Canis lupus familiaris: one gene and its partners. The protein of the gene in region 1 interacts with the protein of each later gene in a biochemical or structural test. Links are inferred from orthologs where the notes say so. Each region holds a gene or a part of one and is shown in the gene's direction. Other genes may lie near its edges.

The links.
Region 2: of the proteins of WWP1 (region 1) and KLF5, one has a biochemical effect on the other in vitro, tested with the Homo sapiens proteins (4 studies listed by BioGRID, with this or other methods). The link is inferred for Canis lupus familiaris from reciprocal best matches to the Homo sapiens genes WWP1 and KLF5.
Region 3: the proteins of WWP1 (region 1) and DVL2 form a complex in vitro, tested with the Homo sapiens proteins (2 studies listed by BioGRID, with this or other methods). The link is inferred for Canis lupus familiaris from reciprocal best matches to the Homo sapiens genes WWP1 and DVL2.
Region 4: of the proteins of WWP1 (region 1) and WBP2, one has a biochemical effect on the other in vitro, tested with the Homo sapiens proteins (2 studies listed by BioGRID, with this or other methods). The link is inferred for Canis lupus familiaris from reciprocal best matches to the Homo sapiens genes WWP1 and WBP2.

Annotation. Positions count from the first base shown.
Region 1 is NC_049250.1:33,146,193-33,150,387, forward strand, and holds the start of WWP1 (NEDD4-like E3 ubiquitin-protein ligase WWP1), read left to right. Parts: upstream 1-1,339; 5' UTR 1,340-1,468; intron 1,469-4,195. UniProt on the Homo sapiens protein: E3 ubiquitin-protein ligase which accepts ubiquitin from an E2 ubiquitin-conjugating enzyme in the form of a thioester and then directly transfers the ubiquitin to targeted substrates.
Region 2 is NC_049243.1:27,275,555-27,279,114, forward strand, and holds part of KLF5 (Krueppel-like factor 5), read left to right. Parts: coding exon 1-716; intron 717-1,713; coding exon 1,714-1,773; intron 1,774-3,560. UniProt on the Homo sapiens protein: Transcription factor that binds to GC box promoter elements. Activates the transcription of these genes.
Region 3 is NC_049226.1:32,405,981-32,410,125, reverse strand, and holds the start of DVL2 (segment polarity protein dishevelled homolog DVL-2), read left to right. Parts: upstream 1-1,334; 5' UTR 1,335-1,377; coding exon 1,378-1,571; intron 1,572-1,659; exon of another isoform or gene 1,660-2,596; intron 2,597-3,272; exon of another isoform or gene 3,273-3,873; intron 3,874-4,057; coding exon 4,058-4,127; intron 4,128-4,145. Other genes in the region: PHF23 (PHD finger protein 23), read left to right, coding at 1-10.
Region 4 is NC_049230.1:5,622,703-5,627,055, forward strand, and holds the start of WBP2 (WW domain-binding protein 2), read left to right. Parts: upstream 1-1,542; 5' UTR 1,543-1,549; coding exon 1,550-1,608; intron 1,609-1,649; exon of another isoform or gene 1,650-1,690; intron 1,691-1,834; exon of another isoform or gene 1,835-1,966; intron 1,967-4,353. UniProt on the Homo sapiens protein: Acts as a transcriptional coactivator of estrogen and progesterone receptors (ESR1 and PGR) upon hormone activation. In presence of estrogen, binds to ESR1-responsive promoters. Synergizes with YAP1 to enhance PGR activity.

The DNA of each region.
Region 1 (4,195 bases):
CCTGGTATCAATTCGGAGTGTAGAAACTAATGGAAGGGAGAGGAAGAGAAGGTACATTCCTTCAATCAGAGTTATTATTTAATCTTACAATTCTTCACGGGGCGTTGATGCTCTTCTTGGTACATAGCTTTTTCAAGAGCTTAATTAGGATGGAAAAAGAGGGAGAACTAGAGAGAGGTTTTAAAGCCGAGGAGAAATTTAGGACAGAACATAATTAAAACATCATCATGCTGAGGGGGCACAGGAGGGAATGGACAGTAACGAGGTCCTCTTTGGAGAGAAGCAGACACCCAGCCTTGGAGTCAGAAGGAAAACCAATAGGCTCGGGTGTGGATGTAGGTAATTTATGGGGCGTGGGTGAGGCGGGTGGGCCAAAATTGTAGAAACCCATGCTTGATGGCCTTTCTCATTTCTGAAGTAGAAGACCAGTCATCTGGTGAGTAATGTGGTCACCAATGACTTCTATTTGCAGGGCGGTCTTCTAAAAGCAACGCACAGAACCAACAGAACTTCTAGAGACTTAGTTAACTCGTTTTTATAAATGGGGAGAATGTACTCTTTTTCATGGCGGCACCGTGCGAATTTGCTGCACCGACACCTGTGCCTGCTCAGTACCAGTTTTATCACCGTAGCGTTATGGGGGCGAACGTTTTGGTGACTAATGAGAGTAAAGTGGAAGTCTTCTGTGGCCACCTGTCAAATGCAGGATTTACTCTTGCAGTGGGGTTCTAGGTCAGATGCTCAGGTCAAGGAGTATTTATTAAAAACAGCCTACTTTTGCAGTAAAGCACTCGAGATGAGAAGGCCAGCGCCGGGGGCCCTGACCCGAGGTCGCTCACCCGCGCTGTCCCAGTCCCGGACGGACGGGGAAGCCAGGTCAGCAGCAGCCACCTCGCGCTCAGAGGCCTCTTCCCAAATCTCAGCGGTGGCCCCGCCCCCTCCACAGGTTTGGGCCCCGCCCCCCTCCTCCCATTGGCTGGCCCTCGGCTCTCCTCGAGCGCGCTCCGCAGCCCCGGAGGAGCGGAGTTTTCCGAAAGCATCCTCGCGGGGGCGCCCTCGCTGCGCATGCTCGCGGGAAGCCCGGGTTCCGGGTCCCGGCGTGGGGGGAGGGGGGCTCTGAGGCGGCCGCGGCGCAGGCGCGCGCTCGCGGCGCGGCGCCGGTGACGCGAGCACGCGGCGCGCTCCTGAGGCGGGAGGTGTGGGGTCTGCCGGGGGCGGCGCGCGGCCGGGGTGGGGGTGGGGGGAGGGTCGGGTGTCGCCGAGCGCGGCGCGGCGAGCGGGTTCCAAGTGGCTGCAGGCGGCCTGGGCTGCCGGGGCCGACGCCTGGGTGGCTGCCGCCGCCGCCGCCGCCGCCGCCGCCGCCGCCGCCGCGCCTGCTGCGAGATGGCGATCTTGGGCGCGGAAGGGTGAGGGCGCCCCGCCGCTGGAGTGGCCGCCCGACCGCCGGGAGCCGACGGCTTTGCGCCGGGTAAGGACGCCGCGGCGGGGGGCGGGGGGCGGGGGGCGCGGGGGGGCGGGCGCGGCGGCCCCCGGGCCGGAGCCTCTGAGGGGCGGCCGCCGACCGTCCGCGCCGCGCCGGCCGCCCCCCCCGGCCCGGGGGCCCCGGAGTTTTCTGGGGTGGGGTCACGGGGCTTGCCCCGCGTTGGCCCCGGCGCAGGCCCGAGCTGAGGATCCCGGAGGAGCCCAGGGTCTCCGTGACTCTGCAGCCGCCGTCCTGAGGCTCCCTCAGCCTCCCCTCAGCGTTCCGTCCGCCTCCTCGTCCTCCCCCCGCAGCGCCCCTCCGAAGCCATCCCCGCGCGTGGACTTGCACCGCTGCCCTGACTTTCACCGCAAGACTCCCGGCCGTACAAAAAGGCGTTTTTATTTTCCTGACGTGTTTTGATCCCTCCGGGTTCTTCCCTGACTCTGCAGTCCCCCCCCCCCCCCACACACACACCCCAACACAACCCCCACCTCCACCTTTGTGTGACCTGGTAGGTCCCAGTGACCTTGCAGTTTTTACTCCTTATCTCCTCAGTGACCTGGACCTTCTCCTTTCATCTTTAAAAAAAAAAAAAAAAAAGGTTTTAATTTTGTAGTTTGTCCATTGTTTTTTTTTGTTTTGTTTTTTTGTTTTTTTGTTTTTTTTACAACCTCCGAAGGATCCTCAGTCCTTCCTTGACTCCATCGTCTGGAGTTAGTTGAGCGTCCTTTGCTTCCGTAATTACAGGGAAACCTTTCCTACCCAAGACGAGTGTCTTTTATTTTGACATTCTTACTCTTCCAGGATAAAATATTTTCCAGGGGCTTGGTGTGACTTTTTCTGCTTGGTGAGTTTTTATCTTTTTTGTGTGTGTGTAGGCTACTGTGCAAAAAAAAAAAAAAAAAGATTTTGAGTTTCGGCTTTAAAAAGCTACTGGTCAGAGTGGAAAATAATGTCCAAAGTTCTCTTTTTCTCCCCCTTTGGTGTTTTTTTTTTTTTTTTTTTAACCTGAAGTACCTGCTGTACAATGTATGCGGGTTTCTGCAAGCACTCATCCTTCTGTAGGAATCCAGTTGACCTGTCTCCTAAGGCTCTGTGGATGATACAAGCAAAATGCACCTTTAAAAAATAAAAATAAAGGCATTCTCTTACGTGACTTTGCTTTGGCTGTAAGGTAGATACTAGTTGGGACTGCAAATTATCACTTCTCGTAAACAGTTAATATTTTTTGAACTGAAAAATTCCTGGCCGAGTGTTGGGAGCTACTCACACTGAGAAGTGTAAAAAGTATGTAGAATAGTTACTTGGTATGTAGCTTATTGATGTTTTCACGTAGCTTTTCCCTTAAAATACAGAACTGTTTATAAGACATCTAACGCCAAGACTTAAAGGGCAGTGGGGTTATGTTTTTTAGAATCCTGGTATGATAGAGGATGTCACAAATAAGTTCTCTGCCTTCAGAGAGATAGTGATCTTTGCTTTTTGCCCCAGGAAGGCTGAAATTTCCTTCACTTCCTTGCACAATTATTAAGCATCTCCTGCATGATTGTGTGAGGTAGATGGAGTAATATGGAGTACAGCAGTTTCTGCCTTCCCAGAATAGTTAGGCAGGTAGGACTATCACAAATGCCTCCTTTATCTTTTAATACATCCTTACGTTTCATATAGAATTCAAATTCAGAAGAGGAAGAGCTCACATCTTACTTGGCAAGGTGAGGTAAGGAGGGTTAATCCATAGAGCTTCTGGCTTTTGAAATCTTTGTTTTGAAGGGTGACTGAGACTTTTGATAAACCAAGAAAAGTAATCCAAGCAGAGAAAAGGGACTAAGAAATTAGAGCACAGAGTTCATATGTTTGGGGAGAGGGAAACAATTATATTTGGGTGGAACATAAAGTATTTGTACTAACATAAAGGCTGATAAAACGAAGTAAAAGTTTGAACCGGTTTATGATTGCTTTTAAGGCTGGGCTAATGATCTTGGATATAATAGGTTTGAGGGGTTTTACAGATGATTTTTTGAGTTGCGAATGAAAAGCTTAAAATACTGTTTTCAGAGGATTAATTTAGCAGCAACGTGTACTGTGAATTGAAGTAGAAATCTGGAGGTAGAAAGACCTTGATTGCTGTGGTCATAGGTAATGAGGGTCTGAACTAAGGCTGGAATATTAGGAATGGAAAGGACAGAATTTGATGGTCAGAGAAAAAAATGAAGAAAGTAAAAATAACAGATTCTGACCCAGGTTGGGAAAATAATGGTACCATTTTGAACAGTATCCATGGAAGCTTTATCTTCGGCAGATGTATGTTACTTTACAGCAGTAATTATTAGCCTTTTGGTGATTGCTAATCCTTGGTGAAACTAAAAAAAATCTGGCATGGAAAATTTCCATATGCACCTGTGCTTTCTGTATATAATTTTAGGGAAGTCCATGAACTCACCTGAAGCTCACCTATGGAAGGGTCAGTAGGTTGGGCTAGGAGCAGCTCTCAGGATTACTGGAGGCTTTTTAAAACCATAGAATTTTCAAATTCTTCCATTTACTGATAACCCCTACTGTAGAGACTTACTTTATATACACTTAAATACAATATCTCTACTTTGTGTTGTGGTTTACAGTTTACCAAGAATTGGTACTGTTATTTGCTATTATATAACAGACTAGCCTAAGAGGTTAAATGATTTGCCCTGAGTGTTTCAGTTAGCAGGTGGGAAAAGTGGAATGACGAACTGA
Region 2 (3,560 bases), on another chromosome or scaffold:
CCCTGACATCACTCACCTGAGAACTGGCCTCTACAAATCCCAGAGACCGTGCGTAACACACATCAAGACAGAACCTGTTACCATTTTCAGCCACCAGAGTGAAACGACAGCCCCTCCTCCGGCCCCGACCCAGGCCCTCCCCGAGTTCACCAGTATATTCAGCTCACACCAGACCGCAGCTCCAGAGGTGAACAATATTTTCATCAAACAAGAACTTCCTACACCAGATCTTCATCTTTCTGTCCCTCCCCAGCAGGGCCACCTGTACCAGCTGCTGAACACACCGGATCTAGATATGCCCAGTTCTACAAACCAGACAGCAGTGATGGACACTCTTAATGTCTCTATGTCCGCCGCCATGGCGGGCCTTAACACACACACCTCTGCTGTTCCGCAGACTGCAATGAAACAGTTCCAGGGCATGCCCCCTTGCACATACACAATGCCAAGTCAGTTTCTTCCACAGCAGGCCACTTACTTTCCCCCGTCACCACCAAGCTCAGAGCCGGGAAGTCCAGATAGACAAGCAGAGATGCTCCAGAATTTGACCCCACCTCCATCCTATGCTGCTACAATTGCTTCCAAACTGGCAATTCACAATCCAAATTTACCTGCCACCCTGCCAGTTAATTCACAAAGCATCCAGCCTGTCAGATACAATAGAAGGAGTAACCCCGATTTGGAGAAACGACGCATCCACTACTGCGATTACCCTGGTACGTGATATAACCCGGTTAAAGCATCAGTACCTGTATTTAGTGTCTGTGTGTGTGTGCACATACCTTTTTAAACCAGGTTTTCAGTTTGCATAGGAAAGTGGTACTTGACAATGAAAAAAATCACCCACTTTGTCCTTTTCATATCTCAGTCTCTGTACTGTACCCTGGGATATAACTTTGTGTTTGTCTATTATGGTTGTATGTATTTAAAAAATGGCTAGAATATACTGGAAAAAAGTTACCTTGGACTTCTTTATTTTTAATGTAGCATGTAAATTCAAATTTTGAGTTATGTCAGAGTTACTTAAACACCTAAATTGGCGTCTTAATTCTAAATTGAGTGCCCTGAAAAGAGATAAGGTAAGGTAGGGAAAATAAGGTGTGGTAATGAAATGGGGATTGAGTAGGCTGCTTTCATGATGGTGGGTTACAAGACTGTGTACAGAATAGATTTAAGGATAGTTGTGATGGCGTATGAACATATGTTCATTCTTCAGTGAGATGCGGCTCAAAATCTAAATTGATGATGGTGATGACTTAGTCTACAAGCTGCTGGCATAAGCTAGTTTATGATTAATACAGGATGTAATTGATACAGCGTGATATACTAAATGAAAAAACAAATGTAGTAGCACAGAAAATTGCAGTCATCTTGGATAATGGTTTAACACTGTCAGCTCGAGAGCCATTAAAAGTTTTTAAATCACTGAAGTATGTTACTAGTATAAAGCACCTACTGGAATATAAACATACATTTTCCATTTGTAGCTTGTTTATCTGCTTTTTCTGCTAAAGTGGTACATAAAGTAAATCACTTTATACCTTTAATAAGGTAACAGGGGAGCAGTCTTTAAAACTGACGCTTCAAATAAATATCTCACTAGCATGAGAGATTTCTTCTTTAGAGCCAGATTTTAAACACTGAATCATCAAATGTAAAGATTTCAAAAGGATCTCCAAAATGACAAGCTGTTCTTCCTCTCCATTATTTCAGGCTGCACAAAAGTTTATACAAAGTCTTCTCATTTAAAAGCTCACCTGAGGACTCATACTGGTATGTAATTTTCTTGTTAATTCTGTGAGTTGTGTAAATAGTGTAAGTGGTATTCATCCTTTTAAAAGCCAACACGTGTTTGATCTCTTCTTTCTTCTGTCAACCTTTATTTTTTAATGGCCTACCTTTTCAGCACTGGCTTGGCTCAAAATGCAGTTCAACGAAAAAGTCTGGTTCCAGGAAGGCTGATGTTCCCTTACCAAGGCCTTGCCCTGTCACCTCACATAGAATGAATTACCCAAAAACGTAAACAACAATGTTTACTAATGGATTTTAAAACTTTAATGGCACTGCAATTCCTATCTTGAAGGAATATAAAAATGTAACTCATTTTTTTCCTTCCATAACAAATCCCTTGGCTGCTGTAAGGTATATTAAATGCTAAAACTTTTCCATTTAGCATGTAAAGCATGACTGCTTAATACATTATCTTTAATTTTACCTTTAACCTAACATCTCTATTTAGCATGTTTTATGTGGCTGATGAAAGGTAGGGACGAAATTGCAGAGTATTAAATCAGGCAAAGATGGGGTTGTGGTTTAAAAGTTACTCTATACCCTGTGCCAGCCCAGATTTTGACGTATTTGAGACTATCTTCATTCTAGTTTACATTTCATCTTTGTTTAGAATGTGCTTTTAGGTAGAGTCACTTTAATTTTACAAATGTTTATTTTGTCAGGTCTGTACATTCACTTTTAAATGCTTTTTAATTTTAAAAATATATATTTGAAACCATTTTAGGACAAAACCACATGGCATGCTTAAAAAGCTCCCAAACACCCAAAATATTTTCAAAATATATAGATGGTTACTATTTGGGATTTTCTTAAAAGACCAGCCCTAAAGGAAAGAACTTACACAAAATGATTGTGTTTTTTTCTCTCTCAGTAAATTCAGCCTTACCTAAAGTTCAAAGAATAAGTTTGCTAATAAAAGCAATGACCTAGCAAAATGTTTTATTCCATCATTGCTATGGAAACCAAAGTATTCAACAGTTCCTTTGAATGGGTTGTTGGATTAGTGTGAGGACTTGAATCTCCCCAGGCTAGATGTTACTATGGAAATTGAGTTTTGATAAATGAAGTAGTTATCTCTAACTGCTGCATTAAAAAGTAAAAGCCTTTGAACAAAGGTCAGTGCTGAGATAGAACACTAGGAGGAATATGGCTGCAGACATTTTGTATGCATGTAAGGAAGTATTACTTGATATCTCAGTGATAAACACTACTTATTAAAATCTAAATAGTGCTGGTGACAGTGGTAGATTCCAGGACTTTCTGAGAAACTGCTTTTAAAGAAAAGACAGCTCATGTATTAAAATGAATGGATGGTTTTGGCCTGAAGTTTTTAGATATAGACAAAGTGATTATATGAAACGCAAGATCCTACATAAGCAGCTCAAAGTAGGCATTATATTTACAGTTAAACAACCATTAAGTATATATAGTAAACTCCGTCTAAAGTTTTCAAAATGCACATGATGGCCAAGAAAATATTCCATATAGAAATACTAAAATAGCCAGTTATAGAATTAATATTCTATTAGAGAAAGAAACATTGAAATTGGGCTTTTACCTGAATTTTGACTAATGGGAATGGAAATAAAATTGAAGCATTTTAACTAGTTTTTTTCTTCTTTGAAAGTCCTTGAAATGGGAGATAGGAAAGGAAGGAGGGAACATGTTTTTTTATGAGGTTAAAGTCTCCTAATAAAAAGAGTGCAATTGCATATCACACTGTAATCAACTGCTTATTGCAGGGATGTAGTCAGAGCATATCTGAATGG
Region 3 (4,145 bases), on another chromosome or scaffold:
AGAGCCCTGACATCGCCGTGCCTAGGCTGGGACTTCCATGTGACAGCATGACTTGGGAGCTGAGCCTCCGGGTCTTCGGCCCGTCCCCCTGGAGCTTGGGTATTGTCCCACTGGGAGGCAGGAATTCCCACTGGAGGCTGGTTTGGAAAGGAGTGTCTCACGTTCCAACCTTATCTTTCCTTCCCGCCTTGTGGACTTGAATATGGACCTGCTGCAGTTGGGGGTGAGAGGCTGGTCCCTAGACACATAATTTCTGTTCCTTAGACCTGCCACCCTTCGCTTTCTGGGCCAGGGTTGGAATTGGGGTGGAATGGGACAGCTGGCTATAAAACTCTAGTGTAAATAGAGCACTCCCCTTCTTCATCTTTTCTTTTATCTCCCCATTTATTCTACACCGGTTGTATTTTTAATTTTGGACTTCCCCTTTTGGGCAGGGCAGCTCGGAGGTGGAGTACCAACCAGGGTCTGGCCAAGGGAGGAAGGAAAACAGGTGACGATATGTTCGCTCACCTCTTTTGTTTTTAATAATATTGGCCAGCTGTTTGTACAGACAGCCTGCGTGTTGTAAATAAAGCAGAGTGGGCTCTTTTGTGTTTATAGCCCTCCCTGACTGTCCTGCTTGGGTGGGGGCGCGGTGGAAAAGCAGAAGGCGCGGGGGGCTGAAGCCCACCTCCAGAGCAGAAAACCACCCGGCTCTGCGCGCCCCCACCCCCCAGCTCCCCAGACCCCCGCCCCCAGCCTGGCCCTCAGTCGGCTTGCTTCCACCGGGCACCCCAGCCCAGGACCCCCATCCTATCTCCCAACACGCACGCTCCAGGGAATCAGCGTTGTTTGGAGCTCTCCGCCCGAGTGGGGCCAAACGGGATGGGTACCGGTGGCCAGGCCCCCCGAAGGCCAGTGCCGGCCTCCGCCGGGGTGCTCGGAGGACGCGGGTGGGGACACATTTGGGGGCGGGGCCGTCGAGGGCTAGGAGACCGTTGCTGAAAGCAATGATCACGTGGCGCTGGCACTGGGCGGAGCCTGTAGGTCACGTGGTCGGTGGAGTCACGTGACGGAGGGCGGGCCGCCGCGGACCACGTGACATGGGGAGAGGTGGGCGGGGTGCTGCAGGGCGCCCGCGACGTCGGCGGCGGTGGCGCGCGGTGGCGGCGGCGACGGCGGCCGAGTCTGCGGCATCGGGTCGAGCCCTCCGGCCCGCCCCCTTCCCTTCCGTCGGCCGCCACCCCGCTGATCCCCGCCGCCTTCCCGCCGCGCCTTTCCGGCGCCCGGCTGATCGTGTCCGCGCTCGCGCGGCGGGGTGCGGGTGTGCGCAGGCGCGGTGGGGGCGCTTCGCCCGGTTGGGTGGGCGGCGGGACCTGGGAGCGCGCGGGCGAGACCATGGCGGGCAGCGGCGCGGGGGGCGGCGGCGTCGGGGAGACGAAGGTGATTTACCACCTGGATGAGGAGGAGACTCCCTACCTGGTGAAGATCCCGGTTCCGGCGGAGCGCATCACCCTCGGTGATTTCAAGAGCGTCCTGCAGCGGCCCGCGGGCGCTAAGTACTTTTTCAAGTCTATGGATCAGGATTTCGGGTGAGCGCGAGGCCTAGGCTGGAACCGGTGGGGGCTGCGCGGCGGTGGATCGGCCACTGCTGAGGGGCACAGGTCGGCCCTAGGCCACGCTGGGTTTTTCTGGGCTGGAGTGCTGGACAGGGCATTATGCGGGGGTTAGATTGGGCATCCCAGGTTGGGTAAGGTTACGCTTGGACAAATCGAGACGCACGGAGCTCCAGGACGACACACCGGGCCGTGCCGAACCAGATCAGGAAAGATTAGGCTGTCCTGGAATAGAATGGGGCACACTGGTTTATTTGGGAGTTATTCTGGGTAATCCGATGCCTTTCGAGCAGTCCTGCGGCCCACGGGCAGTATTGTGGAATCTCCCGATGATTGGGCCGTGTTGGGGTGCTTTAGGGCATTCTAGACCATCCTAGAGCAGATAAGATTGTTTGGGGACATCTGGCCTGTTCTGGTGCAGAAAAGGGTGTGTTGGGATGTTCTAGGCTGCTTTGGAGCAGATTACCAGGCTCTCTCGGAAGAATTTCCTGCTCTTCTGTCTCTTCTGGGTTGTGTTGGTTGATCTTAAGTTTCTGTTGGGGTCAAGTGTTTCATGGGGACGCTCTGTAGAGAGGCAGACAAGGTTTTTGAGGCTATGCCAGTGCAGACAGCTGTATTGGGATAATCTGGTCTATATTGGTATGGACGGCTGCGTGTGGAGACGTTGTAGGTCATTGCTAAAATAGCCCAATATGGCTATTCTGGAGTGTTTGGAGTCATTCTGGGCCAGACTTGGATTCTTAATAATAAATTTGCTTATGGTTTTTGAGGCTGAGTTCTCCAGGTAGCCAGCCTCAGCTCTTGAAGGCAGGCTGGATTGGCCTGAGACAGCCCATGTTCTGGGATAGCTGAATGGACTGGCTTCTACTGAGAAAGACCGTTGGCCGTGAGGAAGGTGGGACTGTGTTGGGAGTTACCTTTGATTTAGATCGAAATTCCTGTTTGTTAGCAATGATATGACCCAGGAGATAGACACAGTTGGCACAAGAAACTTCGTATAGGTAAGCGATGCACAGTAATTTTTTAGCGAGTTGTGATGATCGCTAGCGTCGAGCTCAGCTAATCTGTAAACGGGGTTATGGTGATAGAGAGTGGAATCATTTGCCGGGCTGGGCTCCGCCGGGACTGGGTTACATCTCTAAGAATCCAGCATTATATCGAGACAGAGCAGTGGTAGGGATTGGGCTGAGTGGCCCTATCGATAACAAGTGGGATTAAGTTGTCACGCATCCAGGCTCCTAGAACCATATTAGGGTAAAGGGTTAATCAGACAGGCTGTCCTAATTTGGAGGTGAGGATGTGAGTATGAGAGAGACCTTCTGTTCAATACTCAGTCTCTCAGAGCTCGTGTTTGTTCATGAGATACTTGTTCAACAAGTATACTCGTTAACAGTATTGAACAGATATTTATTAACATTCACTTTACCACCATCAGGGTCTTTGCTGTGTGGCCAGGATGCAGTGTTGAACAGAATAGGCTGTGGTGGGATCCCTGGGTGGCGCAGCGGTTTGGCGCCTGCCTTTGGCCCAGGGCGCGATCCTGGAGACCCGGGATCGAATCCCACATCAGGCTCCCGGTGCATGGAGCCTGCTTCTCCCTCTGCCTATGTCTCTGCCTCTCTCTCTCTCTCTCTCTGTGACTATCATAAATAAATAAAAATTAAAAAAAAAAAAAAAGAAAAAAGAAAAAAAAAGAATAGGCTGTGGTGATCCCACGTGGTGGTTGAGAAGAAGGGGCAAAGTCCTGTCCATCCCAAGGAACCCAGGGGAGGAATGACCCCAAGGCTGGGCTTTGAGGTCCGTCAGGCAGAACAGGTTGCTCAGTGTAGAATTTTGTGCCAGATGAGCCCCGGGGGAAGGGGAAGGTGGGCTTCACCTCTCCTTGGGAGTGCTCAGCCTAGCCAGTAGGTGTCATCCTTGGGTCTCATGGGTATATTTTCGTGGGGGAAAGGTAGCATGTTGGGCTAGGGCTTTGGACATGACTCAGAGAAAACCAAGAAAGCATGAGAATAGAGACTTTGGAGGGTTTGGGGACGGTGCCTTGAGGAGCGGGGTAGGGCTCAGGGAGGTTTGGGGTCATTCTGGGCTGTTAGAGACACCAAAGGTTAGAGATCTTTGGGGCAGTTGGGGTCACCTGAGGGAGTGGGACGGTCGTTGAGATTGGAGAATGAGGTTTGACTCAGACTCTAGGAAATCTTTGGACCAGCATAGGAAATCTTTGGACCAGCATTGAAAGCCGAGGATGAGCTGGGGAGAGGAGGAGGAGGAAGGAAAGGGGGTGAGTGAATTTGGAGACTCCCGGGGCATGAGAGTGAAGTGTCTCGGTGTTGGGGAAGAGGGCCTGGCCGGCTGCATGAAAGTCATCGTCCTTGAGCTGGACGAAGATGAGAAGCCTCGAGTCGGGGTGCGTGTGGGGGGCGCTAGGGCGATCTCACTGGTTCTTGTGTTGTCCCTCCTGGCAGGGTGGTGAAGGAGGAGATTTCAGATGACAACGCCCGCCTTCCCTGCTTCAACGGGAGGGTGGTGTCCTGGGTAAGCAGCCCTGTCCAT
Region 4 (4,353 bases), on another chromosome or scaffold:
GACTATCATAAATAAATACAAATTTAAAAAATAAATAAATAAAAAATTTTAAAAAAAGCTGCATAGACTTCGCGAGCCAAAATTAATTTAACTACTGGAGCAGATCACGTCCATCGTGCAGTAATTTATTGCACTCGTCCTGCAAGGCCCCACCTGCTTGTGCTTAAGACTTCCCAGAAGGCTGTTACATGTTTCATCTTTTCTGGGTGTTGATCCCTCACCTAGGAAACTCTAAAAGATAAGTCAGGCAGGTGGGTCCCCAGGTTGGCCATCACATGTCAGGGAATCAGCTGTACTGCTTAAACTCAAACTTCCGATCCTTTAAGATTAATGATGCACCAGCACCACCACGTGGGGAGTGACACCCTTCTTTCCTCCCCTGGAAGATCCACCTCAGGGTCTCCTGGGTGGTTCAGTGGCTGAGCATGTGCCTTTGGCTCAGGTCTTGATCCCGGGGTCCTGGGATCGAGTCCTGTATCAGGCTCCCCGCAGGGAACCTGCCTGTCTCTCTCTGTCTCTCATGAATAAATAAAAAAATAAAAATAATAAAAAAAGAACTACCTCGGACGTGGAGATACATAATTACTACAGCTGCCCAAGGGCGCCGCCCAGTGCTGGGGCCCAAGCTGAAATGACTCAGCTGTATTTCATAAACCACATAATGGGGCTGCCGGACTTGCCTTGTCCGGGCTCCTAGGTCCTTTCAATGACTGTGAGTCTTGTTGAAATCTTACAGCTGGAAAGCTCCCGGGCGGGCCTGACCGAAGCCAGATCGTTCTAGAGGGAGCAGGGCCACCGCGAGGCCTGCGGGGCTGAAGGTAGAGGCGCTCCCCACCGGACCCTGGTATTTGGTGCAGGGGTCAGGTCGGGCCACCGGACAGTCTCACCCCCAACCTCCGAGGGTCCGGGTCTGACTTCACGACAGGGATGCTCTGGCAGCCCGCCCCGTCCTGGACCCGGGTCTTGCGCTCATCTACACGGCTACAGTGACCACCCGGATCAGGGGCAAAGTCATGTAGACTCAGTGTTTCACAAATAAAGATGCCCTAGCAAGTGACTGCTCAGCATTCCCCACACCCGGTTTAGATTCCCACCGCCGCCCCCTCATTCTGTGAGTATTCACTTTTGTGCTCAAGGCCTTTCCGAGTAATACCCCTGTGACGTGTCCAACTGTTTATTCCGGTCCCTTGGAAGATACGAAGGGCTGTGCGTAATGCGCAGGCCGATTAGTTATGCAACTGGGGCAGTCAATCCGGCCTGGAAGACTACAAGTTCCAGAGTGCATCCTTCCGCTAACGTAGAGAAAAGCCGATTGAGGGAGCATGGCCTTCTGGGAATTGTAGTCTTCAGCTTGTTTGTGATGCAGGCGAAACGGGAGGGGGAGTGAGTAAACTATTACCACGTGACGCTCGAGATCAGGTGGTTGGACCAGGCTCCGCACAAGAGCTGTGATTGGCTGGCTCTAATACGAACGACGCCACTAGGGGCGGGCCGTGGAGGGGCGCAGGCGCACTGCGTTGAGAGTCTCGGGACCCTTTTCCGAGAGACTATGGCGCTCAACAAGAACCACTCGGAGGGCGGCGGAGTGATCGTCAACAACACCGAGAGGTGAAAACACGGCGGAAGGATCCTGGAAAAACGATGGGGGGGGGGGCGTGGGCGGTGGGCGGCCGGGGATGAACCGGTGAAGGTAAACCGACGGGGTGCGGGGGGGGGGTTAACGGCTGGAGGCGGGGCCGGAGGCCGAGGGTGGGTCGGCGGAGCGGCTGGGACGTCGCGGTTAGCTGTGGGCTGGCGCGGGGGGGCGGCGGCTGGGCAGACAGGTGGGCCCCGGGGTCGCTCTTGAGCCCCTTTCCCAGAGTCGATGACTTCACGGGGTGGGAAGAGCCTTAGACAAAAATAATTGCTACTTACTGAGTGTTTACTACGTTCCTACGCGCCAGGCTGTGCTCTTCTGCCTTAACGTGTAAGTGCGGCGCAGCGCTTAGATCATGCTGGTCTGCACGTTTTACATGCAGGGAAACTGAGGCACGGAGAGGTTAGGTGACTTGCCAGAGATCACAGGGCTGTATATGACACAGACGGGATTCCAGGAAAGGCGTCTTTAAAGTCAAAAGGCCGGCAGCCCCGCTGGCTCAGCGGTTTAGCGCCACCTTCAGCCCGGGGCGTGATCCTGGGGTCCGGGGATCGAGTCTCCCATCCAGCCTGCTTCTCCCTCTGCCTGTGTCTCTGCCTCTCTCTCTCTTTGTGTCTCTCATGAAAAATCTTAATTCTGTTTAAATAAAGTCAAAAGGCTTGACTACCAGTACATAGCCTTCTGGTATATTCCAGAACTGCCGAGTTTCCAGATGAGAGACTGAGGCCCAGAGGTGCAGTTAGATAGATAATGTTTGTCAAATGGCGAACACATTTCCTGGCACAATGTCTGTCCTTGCGTCTTTCTCTCCAGTGCCTGTTGACTTGGATCACTTCCCTGAGCAGAGGTCTCCCCGCCTCTCTCCATACCCCTCACCCCCTCCCTCACCTTCCCCCGCCCCCCGCCCGTCAGTTCTGTCCTCTTTGCTCTGGTCTCTGAACTTCTCTGTGGCTTCTCTCTTGCTCCTTGGGCACCGGGAATTAGACCATCCAGCCTCGGTTCAGCTAGGCTGACGCTGAAATTCTCTTTAAGGCGGGAGGTGCTTACGAGGAGTCTGAGTCCCTGGAAGAGACTTCAGTGGGATCAGAGCCTTGTAGGCTGCCAGGGCCAGCACCCAGGAATGCTTGATGAGTCAGGAGAAAGCCAGGGGTGCCCCGGGCTTCAGAGTGCTGACGTTCCCTCCATCGTCCCTGCTCAGGGTCTGCCAGCCCAGCCTGTTCCTGGTAATGAGCTGTTTTTCTCTGAGCTGTACCTCTTAACTATATTTGTTTTTAAGATTTATTTGTTTTAGGGACACCTGGGTGGCTCAGTCAGTTAAGCATCTGCATTGGGCTCAGGTCATGATCCAGGGTCCTGGGATCAAGGCCGGATCAGGTTCCCTGTTCAGCAGGGAGCCTGCTTCTCCTTCTCCCTCTCCCTCTGCCTGCTGCTCCACCTATTTATGGGCGCTCTCTCTGTCAAGGTTTATTTATTTTTTTTATTTTTATTTTTTAATTTTTATTTATTTATGATAGGCACACAGTGAGAGAGAGAGAGGCAGAGACACAGGCAGAGGGAGAAGCAGGCTCCATGCACCGGGAGCCTGACGTGGGATTCGATCCCGGGTCTCCAGGATCGCGCCCCGGGCCAAAGGCAGGCGCTAAACCGCTGCGCCACCCAGGGATCCCCGGTTTATTTATTTTAGAGAGAGTCCGTGCAAGCGCAGGGGGAGGATCAGACGGGGAGAGAAAGAGAGAAGCCACAAGCAGACTCAGGGCTGAGCTCAGAGTCCCATGAGAACCCTGAGATCATGACCTGAGCAGAGACTGAGGGTCCGCCACTTAACCAACTGAGCCACCTTGGTGCCCCTCTGAGCTGTACTTCTCTTCCCTGGTACCAGTCCTCTTTCCCACTTACCCTCCCCAGTGAAGAAAGTTGTGATATTTGGGAGGAGGAAGACAAATGGAACCATGTGAACTTGGACTCTGTTATCTTCTAATCAGAGAAACCTCACATTGTTCCCATTTTGTAGTCTCTCTTGAGTGCAAGCCAGTCCTAGGCCTGGAAAAACACTTCGATGCCATTTGGTAACATCTCCTGGGACTATTTTTCTTTCTTTCTCAGTGGGACTTTGTGGGACAAGAATGTATCTGTCCTGGTGGACCTCCTACCTGGCTTCGGGCTCTGTGCTGCTAAATAATGGTGTGCCTTGTTTTAGAAAATGTTTCCGCCTTGTTTCTGGAAAAAATTGTATGGCAGTTGAAGTTTAAATTAGCGTTTAAAATTTCATGTGTAAGATAGTCTTACTTTTCAAGTGATGAATCCCTTTGAGAGTGATGAAAGCCGCAGATTCTTCCAGAAAAACGCACGTACACCATCATTTCATGGACTCCCACCCATGTAGACCCAGTTCAGGAAGCCCCGGTTTAAAGAGGTGTGAAATGAGCCCTTTGGTAATGTGTAGAGTCCTGTCTTAGAGGGTTTATGGGTCAGTACTAATAAGCCAATGAAAACAGACACACATTATAGGGACTCAGAAGAAAATGGGAGAGTCAACCCAGGTAATCTAACCTGATTTGAGGGATTATGGTGTTAATGGCTTTAAAGCCCTCCGCCTCGGCTCTTCTGCTGTTGTCCCTTGAGAGGAGGGGGTATATGTGGGGCTTGGGGAAATTCTGAGGACCCCGCCTTGCTCATCTATTTCGAGGATGTATTAATAGTTTCCTTGCAGCAACGTC